Linked DNA regions of Lonchura striata. Each later gene encodes a partner of the first gene's protein in a complex. Links are inferred from orthologs where the notes say so. Each region holds a gene or a part of one and is shown on either strand. Other genes may lie near its edges.

Region 1 (8,786 bases):
GAATTTGCCAGTGATATCAACATGTTTGTGTCTGCATCAGTCTGAGCCAGAGCAGGACACTCCTGAGCCTCCTATCAGCTGCATTTCTCTCTGTGTGTCTCTCTGAAGCAAAGGGCAACCCCCACGTGCTGTTTGTGCCTGTGCTGCTCAGAGCTCCCTCAGCCAAGGGCAAGATACATGTCCTCTATCTGGCCTGCATCTTGGGGAGCTTCCAGCCACCAGACCCTGGCTCCTCTGCCACTGCCCTCCTCGTCCTTGCCCCGTGACCATGCTGCTGGGGCAGCCTTGCCTCTGCCTGCCTGTGAGAACAGCGAACACAGCTGCAAAAGACCATCTGCTTCCAAAGGCCTTTCCTCCTCATATTTTAACAGTCTTATCTCCAGTAAGTTCAATGGTGTTGTTTCATTGGTCAGAGTTCTTCCTGGTGGAAATACAGTGCTTTAGTCAGAATATTGGCTTTTAAATCTTGGTAAATTTGACATGTTTTCTCTTGTCTCACCCCCATCTTTACCTGAACCTGCACCGTAGATTTACTGTTCTGCAAGTTTCCATTAATCCTGACTACTTTTCTGTAGGTCTTACTTGGTGTCGCTGAATATTGGGAGAGCGCAATTCTAGCTTACAGCTAAAACAATATCACAGGAAGAATTATAAATTTGTTCTTGTCCAAGCACATAACAATGAGTGAGCCTGACTGTGACAGTTTGGATCTCTGATTTCCTCCCACCACCGTGGGAAAAGCTGCTCCTGTGCTTACACAGGATGGCTTTCTCAGTCTGTGTGGTGAAGCGGTGCCCTGCCAGCTCCGGGGAGCCCGGGGTGCCACAGCTGCTGCTCTGCCGCCGGGCATCGCGTGTGAGCGGGCACAGCCACACGGGCTGGGAGGGACCCAGCCCTTGCAGAGAACATCTACAGCACTCCAGAGAGCTTAGGGAAGGAGGGGAAATCCTTGCAAACTGCTGGGAGTGCAAGTGTGTGAGATTAGTCCAAGGGCCTGATAGAAACTCCAGCAAAGTCGATGCACAGCCCCGTGCCCTTCAGTAGGGTGTTTTCTTGATCGGGTTTGTGTTTTTTGTGAAACTAAAAGGAAACAATTGTATTCAAAATGACATATCTTTTCCCTTCATTTTAGGAAAACAGAGAAATTCAAATCAATTTTGTGGAGGGAAAAAAAAAAGTATTTTAGGGCAGAATATATGTTTTTGCCCAATTTCTTGTGGAAAAGAACTCCTAGTATTAAGTAATGAGCCAAAACTAGAACCATTGAAACAAATGAGACCTGTGTCATTTACTTCAGGCTGAGCAGGTTTTCATACATATCATAAACAATCACAGTAATTTTCTTTTACCATTTAAACGGTGGCAGTGCTGTGCAACCCATATGGCAAGGTTCTTGTTTTCTCTGAACAAAGTAGATCTTGCTTCTTTTATTGGTAGGTACAGCTGGGCAGAAGGTGTATCGCAAGTTTGATGTCTGTGGAACCAGAAAAGTACATTGGATTTTGGTGCTGCAGAAAAATATTCAGTGTTAGGGTTTTTTTCCTCTCTTGGAGGTAAAATTGTTCTAGCTGTTGAGGGTGGAGAGTTGGTGTTGGTGTTGCTTCCAAAGGCTATTTCTTGACATTCACATTTAACAAATAACAGGAAGGATACTGTGGTTAATGTGTGGTTGCAATTCTGGAAAGTGGCAATACAAATTACAATCTGTGATTCTATATTTTATTGTCTCACCAATATCCATGTTGGATCTGCATAGATTGGAAGTAAAAATATTGTAGGAAACTTTGAAAACATTTTTAACTATCAGTGTAAATTCATCTTGACCCTAGGAATGTCAAACTATGACCCTGGCCGTCACAATGATGAAAATCCCAGTACAATTTATTTAATAATGCTCTTGATGATCAAAGTACCAGAGTACAGCTATTTCATCCATTACCGTTTGTGAAGAAAAATGGAATTGTGCAGAAAAATTTTATTATCACTAAAATTGTAACTCTGACTTGCAACTACATAATTTTATGTAGTAGCATTCAATATTTTTGAACTTGTAGTCCACTCTTGAAACCGGTATAGGAATTTTGGCACAGGGAAGCATTTCCCATAATCAAACCTTTGGTGATCCCCAGCTATTGAAGGTGCCTTTGGGTGCAGGGTGTTCTTAAGAACCATTTTTTCTGTGCAACAGCCAGTGAAACTTGTTTGAAAGAGCCTTGCTAGGCCAGAACATCAGACACTACATTCCAGTCACAGTTCTCCCATCAGCTGCTACCCTAAATTTATCTCTTTGGTCCTGTGCAATACAGCAAAGGTTAAAGCATACAAACAGCTGAGTGGGTTCACTTTATCTTTGTTTTGAAATAATAAAATCTCTTTAAGAGGTTTTAAGCAATGGTTTTGCTTGAGAGAGTCAGGTGGCTGAAGCCATACGAGCTGAATGGATTTCAGACTGGACATTAGGAAGAAATTCTTCAGAGAAAAGGTGATTAGCTATTGAATGGGCTGGCCAGGGAGGTGGTGGAGTCACCGTCCCTGGAGATGTTTAAGGAAAGACTGGATGTGGCACTTGGCTGACAGGTTGGATTCGATGATCTCAGAGGTCGTTTCCAACCTAACTGATCTGTGATTTGCCCGGGCTCACCAGGGAGAGCAGTAGGTGGCACGGCCAGTGCTCCTAGGGGAGCTCTCAGGGACAGAGATAACGGGGTCTTGAACCCGAGGACGAGGCAGGAGTGCGGGTGTCTGACAGGCAGGCCACCGAGTTCACGCATGACGCAATCTCAGAGCCTGCTAAACATTTTTTCCTTGTTGCAGGCTTTTTGTGAATCCTGAGCTCACGCCTCCCTGCTGACAGCCTCTCTCACAGACAGGCTGCAAGGGGGAGGGGGGGCGTTCGCGGCCTCCCCGGGAAGGTCCGGCGGGGCCTTCCCCTCCTGCCGGAGCCGCCCCTCGCCCGCAGCTCCGGCCCGCGGCGCTGCCCTCGCCCCGCGGCCGGCGGAGCTCCGCCCGGCCGCCCCGCTCTGCCCACCTGGAGCCACCTCCATGGTGCGGGGCGGAGCCGGGCGGCGGGGGCGGCGCGGCGGGACGGGCGCCCGGGCCGGCGGCTGCGGCGACTCCCCTTTGTGTCTGGAGCCGCCCGTGCTGTTGGGGCGGGCGGGCGAGAGGGGGCGCGGGCGGCGGAGCTCCGGCCCTCGCTCGGCTCCCGCCCGCAGCCGGCGGCGGGCAGGGGAAAGAGGCGGAGCGGCCGCTCGCCGGCGAGCCCGGCGCGGGGGGAGGAAGGCGCTGGCAGCGCGGAGACCGGCGTGAGGAGGCCGGGCTGGGCTGCCCGGCGCTGTGGAAACTCGGGGCGGGAGGCGGAGGAGGGGAAGGGCCTTCGCCCGCCGAGAGCAGCCGGGTGCGCTCGCAGCCGGAGCCGCCGAGGAGGGGCCTCGGCGCCCCGGGCCCCACCTTTGTCGGGGTGGCCGGGGGTGGCGTCGGTGCTGCGGCGGGGGCCGGGGCAGCGCGGAAGAGCCCGCCCGGCGCGGGAGGCAGATGGGCCGGGATGCAGCCGCAGCCCTCGCCGTGAGAACAGGGGGCCTCGCCGCCGCCTTGCCCGGAGCGTGAGGCAGCAGGAGCGGCGGCCAGAGGACAGAGCCCTTTGCCGGGATGGGACGCGCCGCCGCCGTGAGCCCCTAGCTCGCTCTCCGCGCCCCGGGCAGCCCGCAGGGCCCGCGCTGACTGACACCGCGGTGGGCGCGTCTGGATATGTTCCCTTCCCGACCGGGCGCTTTCTTCGATGTCGTGAAGCTGCGTGGGAAATAGCCCGGTTCCCAGCGGGGTCGGGAGCGTGCCGCCGTCCTCCCCGGCGGGGGAGATGCCTCGGGGCTGGGAGGCAGAGCCAGGCGCTTCCCCCGTGTCCGCTGAGCGCTGCCGGCTCCCCAGGCATGAAGGCAGGCGGCTCTAATGGAGTAAGAGCGAAGACGGCTCCTCTCATCTGCCATTTGCCCTTCCAGACTGGATTGTAAACCGAGAGAGTTAAGGAAGGCTGTGCGAAAGCAGGAGGATTCGCCTCTCTTCGGGGTTTGGGTGTTTTTTTTACCCCTTTTTGTTTTTTTTTTTTTTTCTCCTGCCGGCTCGAACCGTGGCTTGCCCAGGTATGCCTGCCTCACTGCAGCACCTTGTGCTGGTGCTCCTGCTCTCCAGTGCCACCCTGCTGCTCGGCACTGCGGCTGGTGAGTAGCCACTGGGTGGAACGAACTGGCCATTTTGGCAGCGGGAAGGGGGTGGGGTCCGCTGCTCTTCGGGCACATCTCTGCCTCCTCACCGAGTGGTGTGCATCTATTTCAGCGGCGAAGCCTGATAAAAGTTTTGAAATCTTGATACGTTGAGTGTCTCGGGGAATAAAATCTGCTTTATTGTGTAAATGAGCGAGACCTGCACTCAGTATAAGAATGCTTTGCTTAGATCTGCATCTCTTGTCTAATAAGTTACTTCAGTTTTGGAAATATATATAATCTTTTAGTTTTGCATACCTCGCCTTTTGTAAGGTAATGCAGGAATTTTTAATATATATTTTAATCGTCAGCAGAGCTGTGCCTGTTTCGCTGTGGGATCTTCGGGCACAGCCATTTTTAATTTTATCAGCATCGGTGCTTCTCGGGGCCTCACACATGTGCTGTAGTTTTGTAACAGAATTACTGTAATGTGTATTTTTTTTTTCCATTGGAGAGATCTGAAGCAAATACGGAGCTATTTCTTCTGTCACTTGTGATTATAGAACACAAAAAAACACTCTTAAGGAAATGCCGAAAGGTCTTGAAGGGTACTCTTTTTTTGTAACAAGAAGTTGGAAGCAGAAATGCTAAGAACACCCTTACTCATATATTTGGACACTAGTCCTATTTTTAATTGTGTTCGGAAGCTCAGTGTTAGATATGCGGGGTGTTGGAAAAGAGATGTGTGTTGGTCTGGCATCCTTTGCTTTTCTGTCACGGTGACAGATTAACATGTTGGAGCCTTTTAGTGTAACCCAGCTTTGCTAGGCAGGAATACCAATTGTTCTTGCAGTATGCATTTCCCAGCACTTTTGGAAGACTCCTACGACTTTTCTGTCGTTTTACTGATCAGGATCCAATCTGCAGTGCTTGCTTTTCTTAGTGATATTTTGTAATCTTCTGGATATAGATAAGCGAATCTTCAGAGAAAAATTGCTGAATCTTGCTAACATGACCTAACAAGCTGATGGTGGTTTCCATGTTATATTTCAGTGAGGTCTTAAAATTAATTTGTCAGAGTTGAGGATACTTGGTATCATTATTAGGAAAATCCTGGAAATGACACATGTTTAGGCAGTTTCTACATCTCTCTGACTGGATAGTCCCTGATTTTCTTGCTTCTGCTTACTAAGAGGTCTCTTTCAGGAAGATTAATAAATAAAAAGCATGGTGTTCCCTGTATTATCCTGACCTTTGGCTGCCATTATTTTAGATGGATGTCTGCAGCGTCTCTCTGTGGCTGTTTCTGAGGAGTGTTTTTGGTTTATTCCCTTTTTTTTTTCCTGGGAGAAGGGACTTCTGAAGGTCAAAAATCTTGGTATTAAAGCACATATGAATCAAGAATGCTCAGCATTCCAACTTTTCTTTCAAATGTATTTTTTTTAAAAAAGTGTAGGTTTTTTTGGTTTTTTTTTTTGTTTGTTTGTTTGGTTTTGTTTTTTTCCATTTTGAAAACTTCAATGAGTTGGTATTTTCTGTGCCCTGATGAAGAAGGGTTGCTGAAGGAACAAGTACAGATTTGTACCAGGCCAAGGGCTGGGCAGGTGCTCTAAGAACCTATTTGCACGGTTTACCCAATTCACTTCAATTCTGAACTGGCAACAAGCATTCCCAGTATTTCAGTTCTGCCTTGTTTAAAGGGTATTAACGATGCCAGCTTGGTTGGGTGTTTTTGAATAGGCACCTATTTTCCCATTGTGATTTATTTCTTAATTGTGAAATTTTAACAATTCACATTTAAAAAAAACTTAGTCATAATCCTCTGTAAAAGTAATTACATGGATGATTTGAGCTTTAGTTAAGGAAGCTAATGGCTGATTTTAAGTTTACACTGCATTTCAGAAAAAAAATGTCTATACATGGGGAAGCTACACTAATGTGTAATTCTGCCCTTTTATGTTCATGAAAGAGCCAACACTCTTTCTTCTCTTCCCCTCCCCCAAAGTATGAACTGTACACTCCCATCCAAGTGAGAATGCTGCCTTTGTAGCTTTGAAACCCCTATTCTTTCTTCTGATTAGTGAACAGATACTATATCTTGGCAGTGTATAGAATTGAGTGCCTATAAATGCAAAATCATGACATCAGAGGGAAAGCATTTTGATAACAGGTTTTTAAGTTTCTGTCTGGAGTAGAATATCTGGACCTCTCCGGGGAGTGCTCCACAAAGACCTGGGCTCAGTATGGACAGGAAAGGAAAGATAAAATGATGAATAAAGAAGATGACACAAAAAAATCTTACCGATTTTTTGTGTCATCTTCTTGTAGATGATAGTTCCACTCATAATCTGGAATATGAATGAAGCGAGAAGGTGGTTTTCCCTTCCCCTTTTTAATTGAAGATATAATAAAGAACTAGCTCTAGATGCAGAAATATTTGCTGATTATTAGGAGGAAAATATTACTGGCTTCCTCCATAAAATACAGATCTTAACAGTTATCTGATAAGTCTGCATTTAAAGAATGTATTAGTCTTTGTAAAGAGAAATGCTTTAGTGAGGACATTTTACTGACAGCAGTCTTGGGTAGAGGTTTAAAAAGCAGTATTGGACAAAAATGGTTTGCAACACTTTGTTCTTTATTTTTCAGGTTATTTAAAATCCTTATTTCTAAATCTTTTGTTTAGAACTATGAGACATATATATATATATATATATGTCTTTATATTGTAGAGGATTCTGGTGTGTTAATCATGAGGATTTCTGCCTGAAGAGGTGATTGATTGGTGAGCCTTTGAGCTGTTTCGCAGTATTGCAAAAGAATTTTGTTTGGGTGTTCGTATGGAGCAGATATTAAAGATACAATCTTTCCTCATTTCACTTGCTTACGTTATGTGATATGCAATGCTGAACCACTTTTCCTTCTGCATACATGTCCACAGTAGACAGCATTCCATTGTACAGTGTGTAAATTATTTGCAGAAAGTATAAGGTGAAAATTAAAGCAAGCAGGGTATCCTTTTATCTTTGGGAGTATCTGTGCGGTTCAACAGGGCTGCAAAAATTAAAGCGTTAAAGGAATTGGATGGAGATTGAATTTTTTTAATGATAATTCTAATTATTAATTAAAATGAGTGACTGAAGCATCTTTATCTAATTCTGTCTTGCTTGTTTACTGTAGTATCTCAACATAATTTGTCTGAAATGTGAATTGGGTGAAATGATATTGAACTCATTTCTTCTAATTCAGTTTAGTAACTGACCCTGTATCTTGCATATTAAAGAGTGGGTTTTTTTAAACTTATCTGCACCCCAATTTCTACTTATGTACAAGAGCTACACCCATTGCTTATGTTTTTTTCAAATGTAACCTAGAAATTATGTTTATTTTTCTGTTTGTGTTGGGAGCCGTCTCAGAAATCTTAGCCTGGGAAATGGCAGCCAGGCTGTTGGCTTGAGGTCACACTGGGATGCCTGAAGGATAACCACAGCACAGGTGCAGCCTGGACACCAGGCTTCATGGGGCTTCATGGGCTGTGTGCTTGTGTAAAAAAATTTTGTAGCCGTGGAAGCCCAGGATTGTCCACAGAGCCATTCACCCTGCTGGGAAGAACCATTTTTCCATTAGGTAAATCAGCCTGTATGAGCCTCTGTGATATTTTATCTCAGGTGCTTCCAGTTCCCAAGCAAACTTCAGTACTGGGATACTGCACTGTGCAGTGTCAGCACAGCCTGTGAGGAAATGGAAGCTGTGCTCATCTGGTGGCCAAGGAACCCAAATTTCAAGCCCTGAGACATTACACAGATACCTTGCTCCAGTGTGAGTGGTTTTGTTTTACGCATTAGACAGTTGGCTGGACTGTCTGCCTAGCCTTCTCTGATGAAGGCAGGCCAACCTCACTGCACCCTGGACAAAGAGGGAAGCATAACTGTATTTCTTAAAATTATTCCTACAGTGAAGTTTGTTGAAGTGGTTGTTTTAATGGCATCTCCCTAGCACTTGTTAGAAATTTCTGTAAAAAAATACTTGTTGACTTCTACAGTGTTGTTTCCCTTCCTTTTTACATTTCATTAAGTATTTCTCAGTAATTTGTATAGTCAGTGGCATTGTTTCCTTGGCAGATACCATCTTCCTCTACCTTTCTCACTGAAGTGACAAGAAAGTGATATAGGGTTCTTCAGAAATGTTTTATTCCTAACAACAGAGTGCCTCTTACTGGAGCTGCATTGTGTTTGGACTCAGTCTGGCTGTGCTATGAATATGTGCTGTCATTTTCTGGGCAGAATATAACTTTATAGCCAGAGCTGCGAGCTGAGTGTAAAGTTTCATTTGGAACAAAATGTTTATGCCCTGAATAAAACAGGCTGGGTGATGATTTAGGTTGGGTAGGACTGGAATCTGTGCATAGCTTAGAGGCAGTAACTATTAATTTTATTGAGATTGTAGACTTAGTGGAGCTACTCACTGTTTGATTTTGAATTTAAGAATAAGTGAAATACAAGAACTGTTCCCCAAAAGACTAACATTTCAATATACAAACTGATTTTCTGCAGTGTGGATTTTATGGTGTTTTGTTTTGGGGTTTTTTTGGTT
Region 2 (8,786 bases), about 14 Mb from region 1:
TCTTCATTCCTGAAGGTAGATTTTTCTTTGCTGTTAAAAAAAAGAAAAAAAAAAAGAAAGAAAGACAGAAAGTAGATGCGATTAGAAGGGCCAGCTGCCCCGCTGCCCAGGTAGGAGGCTCAGCCTAAGGTGCTCCTTCTCCCAGCGCAGAGCTCCGACTCCAGCGTGCACCGCCCGCTGCCCAGCCCGAGCCTCGGCCCCCACCCCAGCCCGGCCCGCGGAAACCTCCCCAGCGCCCCCACGGCCTGCGTCGGAGGGCTGGCACGGGATGCCCGCTGTGCCCGTCCCGCTGTGCCCGTCCCGCTTTCCCGGTGTCGCTGTCCCGGTGTCGCTGTGCCCGTCCCGCTGTCCTGGTGCCGCTGTCCCGGTGTCGCTGTGCCCGTCCCGCTGTGCCCGTCCCGCTGTGCCCATCCCGCTGTCCCGGTCCCGCTGTCCCGGTGTCGCTGTGCCCGTCCCCGTGTCCCGGTCCTGCTGTCCCGGTCCCGCTGTCCCGGTGTCGCTGTGCCCGTCCCGGTGTCCCGGTCCCGCTGTCCCGGTCCCGCTGTCCCGGTGTCGCTGTGCCCGTCCCGCTGTCCCGGTCCCGCTGTCCCGGTCCCGCTGTCCCGGTGTCGCTGTGCCCGTCCCGCTGTCCCGGTCCCGCTGTCCCGGTGCCGCTGTCCCGGTCCCGCTGTGCCCGTCCCGCTGTCCCGGTCCCGCTGTGCCCGTCCTGCTGTCCCGGTGCCGCTGTCCCGGTGTCGCTGTGCCCGTCCCGCTGTCCCGGTCCCGCTGTCCCGGTCCCGCTGTCCCGGTGTCGCTGTCCCGGTGTCGCTGTCCCGGTGTCGCTGTCCCGGTGTCGCTGTGCCCGTCCCGCTGTCCCGGTCCCGCTGTGCCCGTCCCGCTGTCCCGGTGTCGCTGTGCCCGTCCCGCTGTCCCGGTCCCGCTGTCCCGGTCCCGCTGTCCCGGTGTCGCTGTCCCGGTCCCGCTGTCCCGGTGTCGTTGTCTCGGTCCCGCTGTCCCGGTCCCGCTGTCCCGGTGCCGCTGTCCCGGTCCCGCTGTCCCGGTCCCGCTGTCCCGGTCCCGCTGTCCCGGTGACCCCGCCCGGCCCCGCCGCCGCTGCCCCGCGCGGCCCAGAGGGGGCGCCCTCGGCCCAGGCTTCCCCAGCGGCGGCGCGCGCGGCCCCGCGCAGGTGAGCGCGGCCCCGCGGGGGCCCGGCCGGGCGCGGAGCGGCCGCGGGGACGCCTCGGTGGCGGCGCCCGGTGCCGCCGCCTCGGTGCCACCGCCTCGGTGCCGCCGCCTCGGTGCCACCGCGGCCGCCGATGTGCGCCGGGCTTCTCCCCCCGCCCCCTCGGCCCCTGTCCCTGGCCGCTGGTCCCCGGGCTGGAGCCGGGTGGGAATCTCTGCTGACCCCTGCGAGGGCTGTCACAGCCATCCCCTTTGCCTCGGTGCCCGCTCCCCTTCCATCCCCCGCCAAAGCGCTGCCCCGCGAAGGCGCGCAAGAAAAGCCGGTCCCCGGGCGCGGGCAGGGCCGGCTGTGCTGCCGGCTCCCCGCCTCGGCTGCGGGAGTGCAGCGGTCCCGTTATTTCCCCTCCCGGCTCCCCTGGGCCGCCGCCCCGGCCCCCCTCCCCCTGCTGCCTCCGACAGGCTCCGCGTCCCTGCTGCCCCACGGAAAACACACACAGTCCGCGGCACCCGCCCCGGCTACCCGGCCCATTCAAACAAACAAACAGAAACCCGCCCCGTCGCAAAGCCAACCGACGGTAAACTTTCTAATGACTTCTTCTTTCAAGTGCTTAAAAGGCAAGGAGCACCGGGGGAGGGAAAGAAAGGGGCATCCATCTCCCGGCCGGGGCGGGAGGGGGGCCAGAGCTGCGGTCGCTCGGGGTCCGTCCGTCCCTCCGTCCGTCCTGCCGGACGACGGGACAGGGACGGGAGCCGGTGTGTGGTGGGTGTGTTTGCAGGAACCGGGAAGGAGGGAGGGGACGGGGGGAGTTAAAGAAACAGCATAGTTAATATTTCCACATCAGGAAGTTACTGTAATAGCCCAGGGGGCAAAAGACTTAACTTAATCTCCTAAATAGAGAGGAACCCATGGCGTCTCTGTTATAGGTTGGAGTTCCCACGTGGTTTTAACTCCTGTATAAAAGTTTCAGTAGAAAGTGCCACAATGTCGTGATTTTGCAGGGGGGAAAAATTAGCAGAAGGAGATCAGAGAAGATACACGAGGAGCAAGCAGCTTCCCCGAGACCTTTCACTGCGGATCCGAGAGGGAACATCAGACGCGTAAAAAAAGAAAAACAAAAAACAAAAACAAAAACCAAAAAGCCAAACAAAACAAAAAACCCAAACAAAACAAAACACAGCGTTCAAGCCAGCACAAGGCGAGCGAAAGATCAAAAAGACGCAGAGGGAGACAGATTAACTGGAGCAGCAGCAGCAGCAACAACAACAAAAATCACACTTAAAATAATAATAACAACAATAATAATAAAACCCAAACCACCAACAAGGGAGATATTGTTTAAAAGGGCAAGCGAGAGAGCGAGCCGAAGAGCTGGTCTGACCGAGTGGATCCGTGCAGCTTCTCCTGGGATCGCCGGGATCGCGCCGCTTCTCCGCTCCGCGTCGCGCAGCGTGCGGTGCCCTGCCCGCGGCGGGGGTCCCTGGGCGCCGCCACCGCATCCGCGCCGGACTCCGGACCCTCCGCGCTGCTTTGAAAATAAAAGCATCTCGCTAATAATAAGCGGGACGGTGGGGGGAGAAGACTCGCAACAGTGGAGCTGCCAGCCGCGCACCCTCTGCCCGCCGCCCCCGGCTCCCTCCCCAGCTATGCTCCGGGTCAACTTTGATGGCACGTTGAGAAGCAGCGGGCGCTGAAGGGGGACAACCGAGCGGCGCGGAGCCGACCTGCTCAGAGACCTGCACCCACGGATTGTCTTGCGGGGGCGGAGTGGGCGGGGGGGTACAAGTGGCATTTCTCCCCCCCCCTCCTTCCAGGCTATAAATTGGATTGTATATAAATCTGCTTCGTTTATCTCCCTGACCCCCCTCAATGACGCTGGACTAGAGAGCTCCTCTCCGCGGCCCGCCCGGACCTGCCGAAGCGAGCGATGGACCACGAGCGACTGCGCCCGGGGATGCCCCTCTGAAGCGACGCGGGGCACCGGGGCAGAGCGGCGCCGCCTCTCCCCTGCTCCCCGGATCCCCTCGCACCTCCGGCTCGCTCCCCGCTCCCCCTCCCTCCTCCCCGGGCTCCGCAGCCACCCCCTCACCTGCTGCCGTCCCCCTCCCCCGTGGAGCCGGGCTCTCTCCGTGCACGCCAAGCCTGTTCCCCCCCCGCCGCCAACTTCGCCCTCGGTGCCTGCGCGTGCAGCCTCCCCCTCCGCCTCCCCGGCGGCACACGCCGCTTCCCGGGCGCCCCCTCCCTCCGCCGCGGCTCCCCCCCTGCGCGGAGCGGTTGCGGCCCCCCAGCTTGGCTGCCACCGCCCCCTCCGCGCCGCGGAGCGCTCGGAGCGGCGCTGCCTGCAGACGGGCTCCCTGCGGCGCTCCGGGGCGGCCCCCAGCTCGGCCCCCCGCTCCTCCGCCATGGACGGGGCGGCTCGCCGGGGGGTGCTGGCCGCGCTGCTGGCCTGCGGGCTGCTCCTGCTGGGCGCCGCGGCCACCCCGACCCCGCCGGCCCCCGCCGGCGGCTCCCCGCAGGACACATGCACCTCCTGCGGCTTCCGGCGGCCCGAGGAGCCGGGCAAGGTGGACGGGGATTTCCTGGAGGCGGTGAAGCGGCACATCCTGAGCCGGTTGCAGATGCGGGACCGGCCCAACATCACGCACGCCGTGCCCAAGGCGGCCATGGTCACGGCGCTGCGCAAGCTGCACGCCGGCAAGGTGCGGGAGGACGGCCGCGTGGAGATCCCCAGCCTGGACGGGCAGGCGAGCGCCGGGCCCCCGGCCCACGACCCGGTCTCCGAGATCATCAGCTTCGCCGAGACAGGTGGGCACCGCCCGGCCGCGCTCCCCCGCCGCCCGCGCCCCTCTGCCCGACCCGCCGCGGCCCCTGCCCTGCCGCGCTCCCCGCCTGTCCTGCCTCGCCCCGTCTGTCATTCCCCCTGCTCGACCCCTGTCAGTCCCCCTGCTTGACCTCTGTCAGTCTTCCCTCTCGCCCTGCCTGTCCTCCTGCCCACCTTCTCTTTCCGCCTGCCTGACCCGTAGCACTTCCCCGGCTGCCCTTGCCTGGCCCGCTGCGCGCCCTGCCTGTCCTCCCGCCTGTCCTTCTGCCTGGTACGGGCACCTGGCCGCCCGGCTCACCCGCTTGTCCTCCGCCTCATTCGCTCTCCCCTCTGCCCCGCACCGTCTCGCTCTGGCCCTGCCCTCGCTTTTCCATTCTCCCTGCTTTGCCCCTGTGCCCGGGATTCTCCCCAGGTTGTGCCTTGCAACTCCCTTCTCTCGTCCCTCCATCCCTCCGCAGCCTCCGTGCCCCCGGCTCCCCTCTGGCGGTCCTTCGAGCAGCACCGGGGCTTGTCTCTGTCCCCGCATGTCCCGCTGTCCCTCCTCTGCCTGTCCCGCTCCATCTCTTGCATCCCTTGCCTTGTCTGTCTGCCCTGCACATTCATCTGGTTCACTGCCTGCATCTGTCTGTTGAGGCTTGCATTTCCCCATCCTCTCTTTCCATTTGTTTCCCATTTATTTAGCTTTCATTTGCAGTATTGGCCTTGTCTATTTGTCCATTGCATGCAGTGTCCAACCAAGTGTGTCTGTCTCCTCTCTGTCTGTCAGTCTATTTACTAACTGCCCTCCATCCCCACGGTACCAGCCATCTCAGTCCTGTCCAGCCATTGCAGTTATGTGTCACCGAATCCCTTCAGCACAGCTTTCCAGTAGTTTAACCACTGTCCCCATGAACTTTGCACATCTGGCTGGAACAGCATCACTCTGCGCATTACCTGTCTATATCTGCCCATCTCTCCTTTCCTTCATCACTCTATCGCTCGTTTCATTTTCCTCCCTCTATCTTCTTGTGGCATCTATATATCATTTGTCCACAAAATAAATCTCTTTCTATCCTGTATGCTGCCCACTCATCTTCTTTATCTACCCTCCCACTTACCAAAGGCATATACATTTACAGTATCTATGGGATCTGTTGCATTATACATATGCTTGTTATATTCACATACAAAATTTATGAGTGCACACAATCTCACACAACACAAGTGATGTGGATCGGTGCAGCAGCACCGTACTGTTCTTTTTCTGTCACTGTCACCACAGTTTATGAAAAAGTTGTGTATTTACTAACATGAGAAAGGCTTTCTTAGTGTACATTTTGGGGGTTATTATTTTTTAATAGGACGTTGTTGGGAGATTGGGGGTGGGCTCGTACTTCCATTTGGTATTCAGTCAATCGCTGTCTTTTGTAACACTTCCAAAATTGACTTTATGTAAAACGTAGACAAACACAGTGAAAATTTTTGTCACTGAACTATTACAAGGTACTGAATGGGCTCTGGAGGCACATATGAAAGGCATCTAGGGTAACAAATGAAGACACCGACTACGCAAAAAATCCCATTCAGAGATTGACAAAAATGCTAAAGATTCTTAGGGAAGGAAAAGGCAGGAAAAAAATCTACATTTAGCTCTGTACAGACGGAAGCAAAACCGATAAGGGCAGATGAGAAAATGCCTTTCCAGCAATAATTTTAAATAGCGATTGGGATGCTTTGATTCAGGGATCAGAATTACAGTCTCCGCCATAAAGGCCGTCACATTTATCACCTACGCCAAATTTAGTTAGGACTTATATTACAAAATTGCAGGAAGGCCGCTGGTATTTCTGAAATGTTTCGTGCAGCAGGCTCTTCTGTTTACAAATAAGGGGTTATGTCAGACATTTGGTGACATTTGGTTTTCTCCTTTAATTCTGGTGTTGCTGAAATGCGTATTGAGAACAGCCAATAACGGCGTTACAGCGGGAACAACCGCTTCATTGCCTTGCCTCGTATGGGAGCTCATCGTTCTGGGGAGAAAAGGCAGAGATTGAAATGATTAATAATAGCCGATATTCTACCAGACTAAGTGGGGGTTAGCTTGATCTGTTGGACAAGCAGGCACATTACTGAAATATTTTCCGTTCTGTCTCATGAATCCTCTCCTTTAAACCGCAACAAGAATACATGCAAATCGAAACAAAATCCCTGGTTTGGCATTGGCGTTTTAGTGGTTATTGAAAGAGCTCTCCCCATGAGAATTGGCAGGTAGCTGAAAGTTAAAACTATTCTTAAACTGATGAGATAGCAGAATCTAGTCCTAGCGCCGGTCTTTTTCAAGGTGCTGCTGTAGCATCTTTAAATCTGGCTTTCTGGAAAAACCATATATTGGGGAAAACTCTTACTGTTGTCTGTGCATCTGACACATCCGACGACAGCCCGATGTTGAAGGCTGCTGTGAGAAGTCCCCTTTTCAATTAATTCTAATTGCAAATTTGGGATATCTGATGCAGTGCATGCCTTCTGACTGGCACAGCCCCGTCACTGTTCACTCGATCCGCTGTGCTCTAGTGTTGTCCCTGAATCCAGAATGGCACACAAGCTAACATTTCCTTTTTGACTTAATCTTGCTGATCTCTCCTTATCTTGCAGACGATCTGGCCTCATCTAGAGTCCGCCTCTATTTCTTCATCTCAAATGAAGGGAACCAGAACTTGTTTGTCGTTCAAGCCAGCCTGTGGCTTTACTTGAAGCTGCTTCCATATGTCTTAGAGAAAGGCAGCAGGCGAAAAGTAAGAGTCAAAGTCTATTTCCAAGACCCGGACACTAGCAACAAGTGGAATGTGGTTGAAAAGAAAGTTGATCTCAAAAGAAGTGGTTGGCACACTTTTCCCATGACAGAGGCAATCCAGGCTCTGTTTGAGAGAGGAGAAAGGAGACTGAACTTGGATGTTCAATGTGAGGGCTGTGAAGAGTATTCAGTGCTGCCAATTTATGTGGACCCCGGGGAGGAATCCCACCGGCCTTTTTTAGTGGTGCAAGCCCGCCTCGCTGATAACAAACACAGGATCCGGAAAAGAGGCCTGGAGTGCGATGGCAGGACCAATCTATGTTGCAGGCAACAGTTTTACATTGACTTTAGACTCATTGGGTGGAATGACTGGATCATAGCACCATCAGGTTACTATGGGAATTACTGTGAAGGGAGCTGCCCGGCCTACTTGGCCGGTGTCCCGGGGTCGGCTTCCTCCTTTCACACCGCTGTCGTGAATCAGTACCGAATGCGGGGGCTGAACCCGGGCACCGTGAACTCCTGTTGCATTCCAACCAAACTTAGCACAATGTCAATGCTGTACTTTGATGATGAATACAACATTGTGAAAAGGGACGTTCCCAATATGATTGTGGAAGAATGTGGTTGTGCTTGATTTAAGGTGTGTTTTGGGGGGGGAGAGAGAGAGAGAGGGGGAGAGAGAGAGAGAAACATTCCCGTACAAGATGGTGTTGGAGGAAGTTTCACTGTGTATCCGGGCATCAGTGTTGGAAAGTCACTGTGGAAAAGTTTGACAAAAAAAAAAAGAAAAAAATAATCATTTCACTTTGGTGTCAGGACAGTGGCAGTTTGTGGATCATGGACACTTATATATTCTATCACTTATAAGTTAATGCTATGAAATATCTTAAAAAGACACACACACACACACACACACACACACACACACAAAATGTGGGCACGCATACAAACACACGCTCAGACACACAGACACACACAGACACACACACATGAGGCAGCTCGGAAAAGGGACATGAGCACAGAAAGTCAGTGACCAGTGACGATGGACCTAAATGCCTGCCAGTACGAGTGAACGGCTGAGCAGCTGTTTCCCCGCCTGCCGGCAAAGCCAGACCGAAATGAGCTCCCTTTGCTCAGGCAAAAGCACAGACTGTGAGAACACAACGTATTCTTGCACGCAGGTGTCAAAATGACCAAACTTAGAAAACTAAAAAAAAAACAAAAAAGAAAAAAAAAAAAGTCGACTGTCACCTCTTAGGTCTAACAGGAAGCTGCAGGACACCTGCCTTGGGAGGCTATCACTTCCTCTTAATTTAAATTTATCTAAACATAAACATCACAGATACCCACTTCTTGCTACAGCACTTCCAGCAAGGAATTCTGTGGTTCCATCGGGGGGAGAGAGAGAGAAAGAAAAGGGGCAGACATGTTAGAAACTGCTGTATTTCTAACTCCTGGCTGTTGTGGAGTCACAAGCTGGGCTGGTGCGATCCGATGCTTTTACTGCCCACTAGCAACCCATGGTTGGCTACACCCGCCGTGTCTTGGAAAAGGGAATCGATACCATATCTGGACTGTGTTGACTGTTGGCATCTCTCACTGTGCAAAGAACAAAAAGTCAAAAGTTGCAATCTGTGTTCTTCAGTGGGGGACTCGGCAAGGCTACGTCACGTGGGGGACGAGCAAGCAAGCAGTGGCCACCACGGCTAAACCAATGAACCCTAAAGAGGAGTGACAGCGACAGAGTGGAGACGTTCTGGGAAATGCAGTGCATTTAATAACAGGCGAGGAGCATTTTTACAAGTCTTGGAAAGGAGGAGAGAGGAGAGTGCTTTCAATTTCCTTACCAGGAGGTGTCAAGGATGGCCATAAAGATCAGAAAATAATGATACAGCATAGCACTTGCAAACTGCTTGAATGCACGTATAATAGCACTTGCAAATTTCAATGCCTTGAAAAGTGGTACTTGATAGTGCACTTATCTTTGCTCACTATCTAGGTAAACAGGTGCCGCATGAGCTATGCAATTTAAA

Evidence for each region.
Region 2: the proteins of BMPR2 (region 1) and INHBB are in contact, whole or in part, in a crystal structure (PDB 7U5O), measured with the Homo sapiens proteins. The link is inferred for Lonchura striata from reciprocal best matches to the Homo sapiens genes BMPR2 and INHBB. Residues at the interface, in NP_001195.2 of Homo sapiens: Tyr40, Tyr67, Leu69, Val80, Lys81, Trp85, Ser86, His87, Ile88, Gly89, Asp90, Gln92, Ile108, Gln109, Tyr113, Phe115; in NP_002184.2 of Homo sapiens: Phe309, Asn318, Asp319, Ile322, Ala323, Pro324, Gly326, Tyr327, Tyr328, Thr379, Met380, Ser381, Met382, Leu383, Phe385, Asp386, Asn390, Ile391, Val392, Lys393, Asp395, Ile400.

What each region holds. Positions count from the first base shown.
Region 1 is NC_134610.1:26,684,320-26,693,105, reverse strand, and holds the start of BMPR2 (bone morphogenetic protein receptor type-2), read left to right. Parts: upstream 1-3,455; 5' UTR 3,456-4,135; coding exon 4,136-4,211; intron 4,212-8,786. UniProt on the Homo sapiens protein: On ligand binding, forms a receptor complex consisting of two type II and two type I transmembrane serine/threonine kinases.
Region 2 is NC_134610.1:12,354,867-12,363,652, reverse strand, and holds the start of INHBB (inhibin beta B chain), read left to right. Parts: upstream 1-3,561; coding exon 3,562-3,964; intron 3,965-6,611; coding exon 6,612-7,387; 3' UTR 7,388-8,786. UniProt on the Homo sapiens protein: Inhibins and activins inhibit and activate, respectively, the secretion of follitropin by the pituitary gland.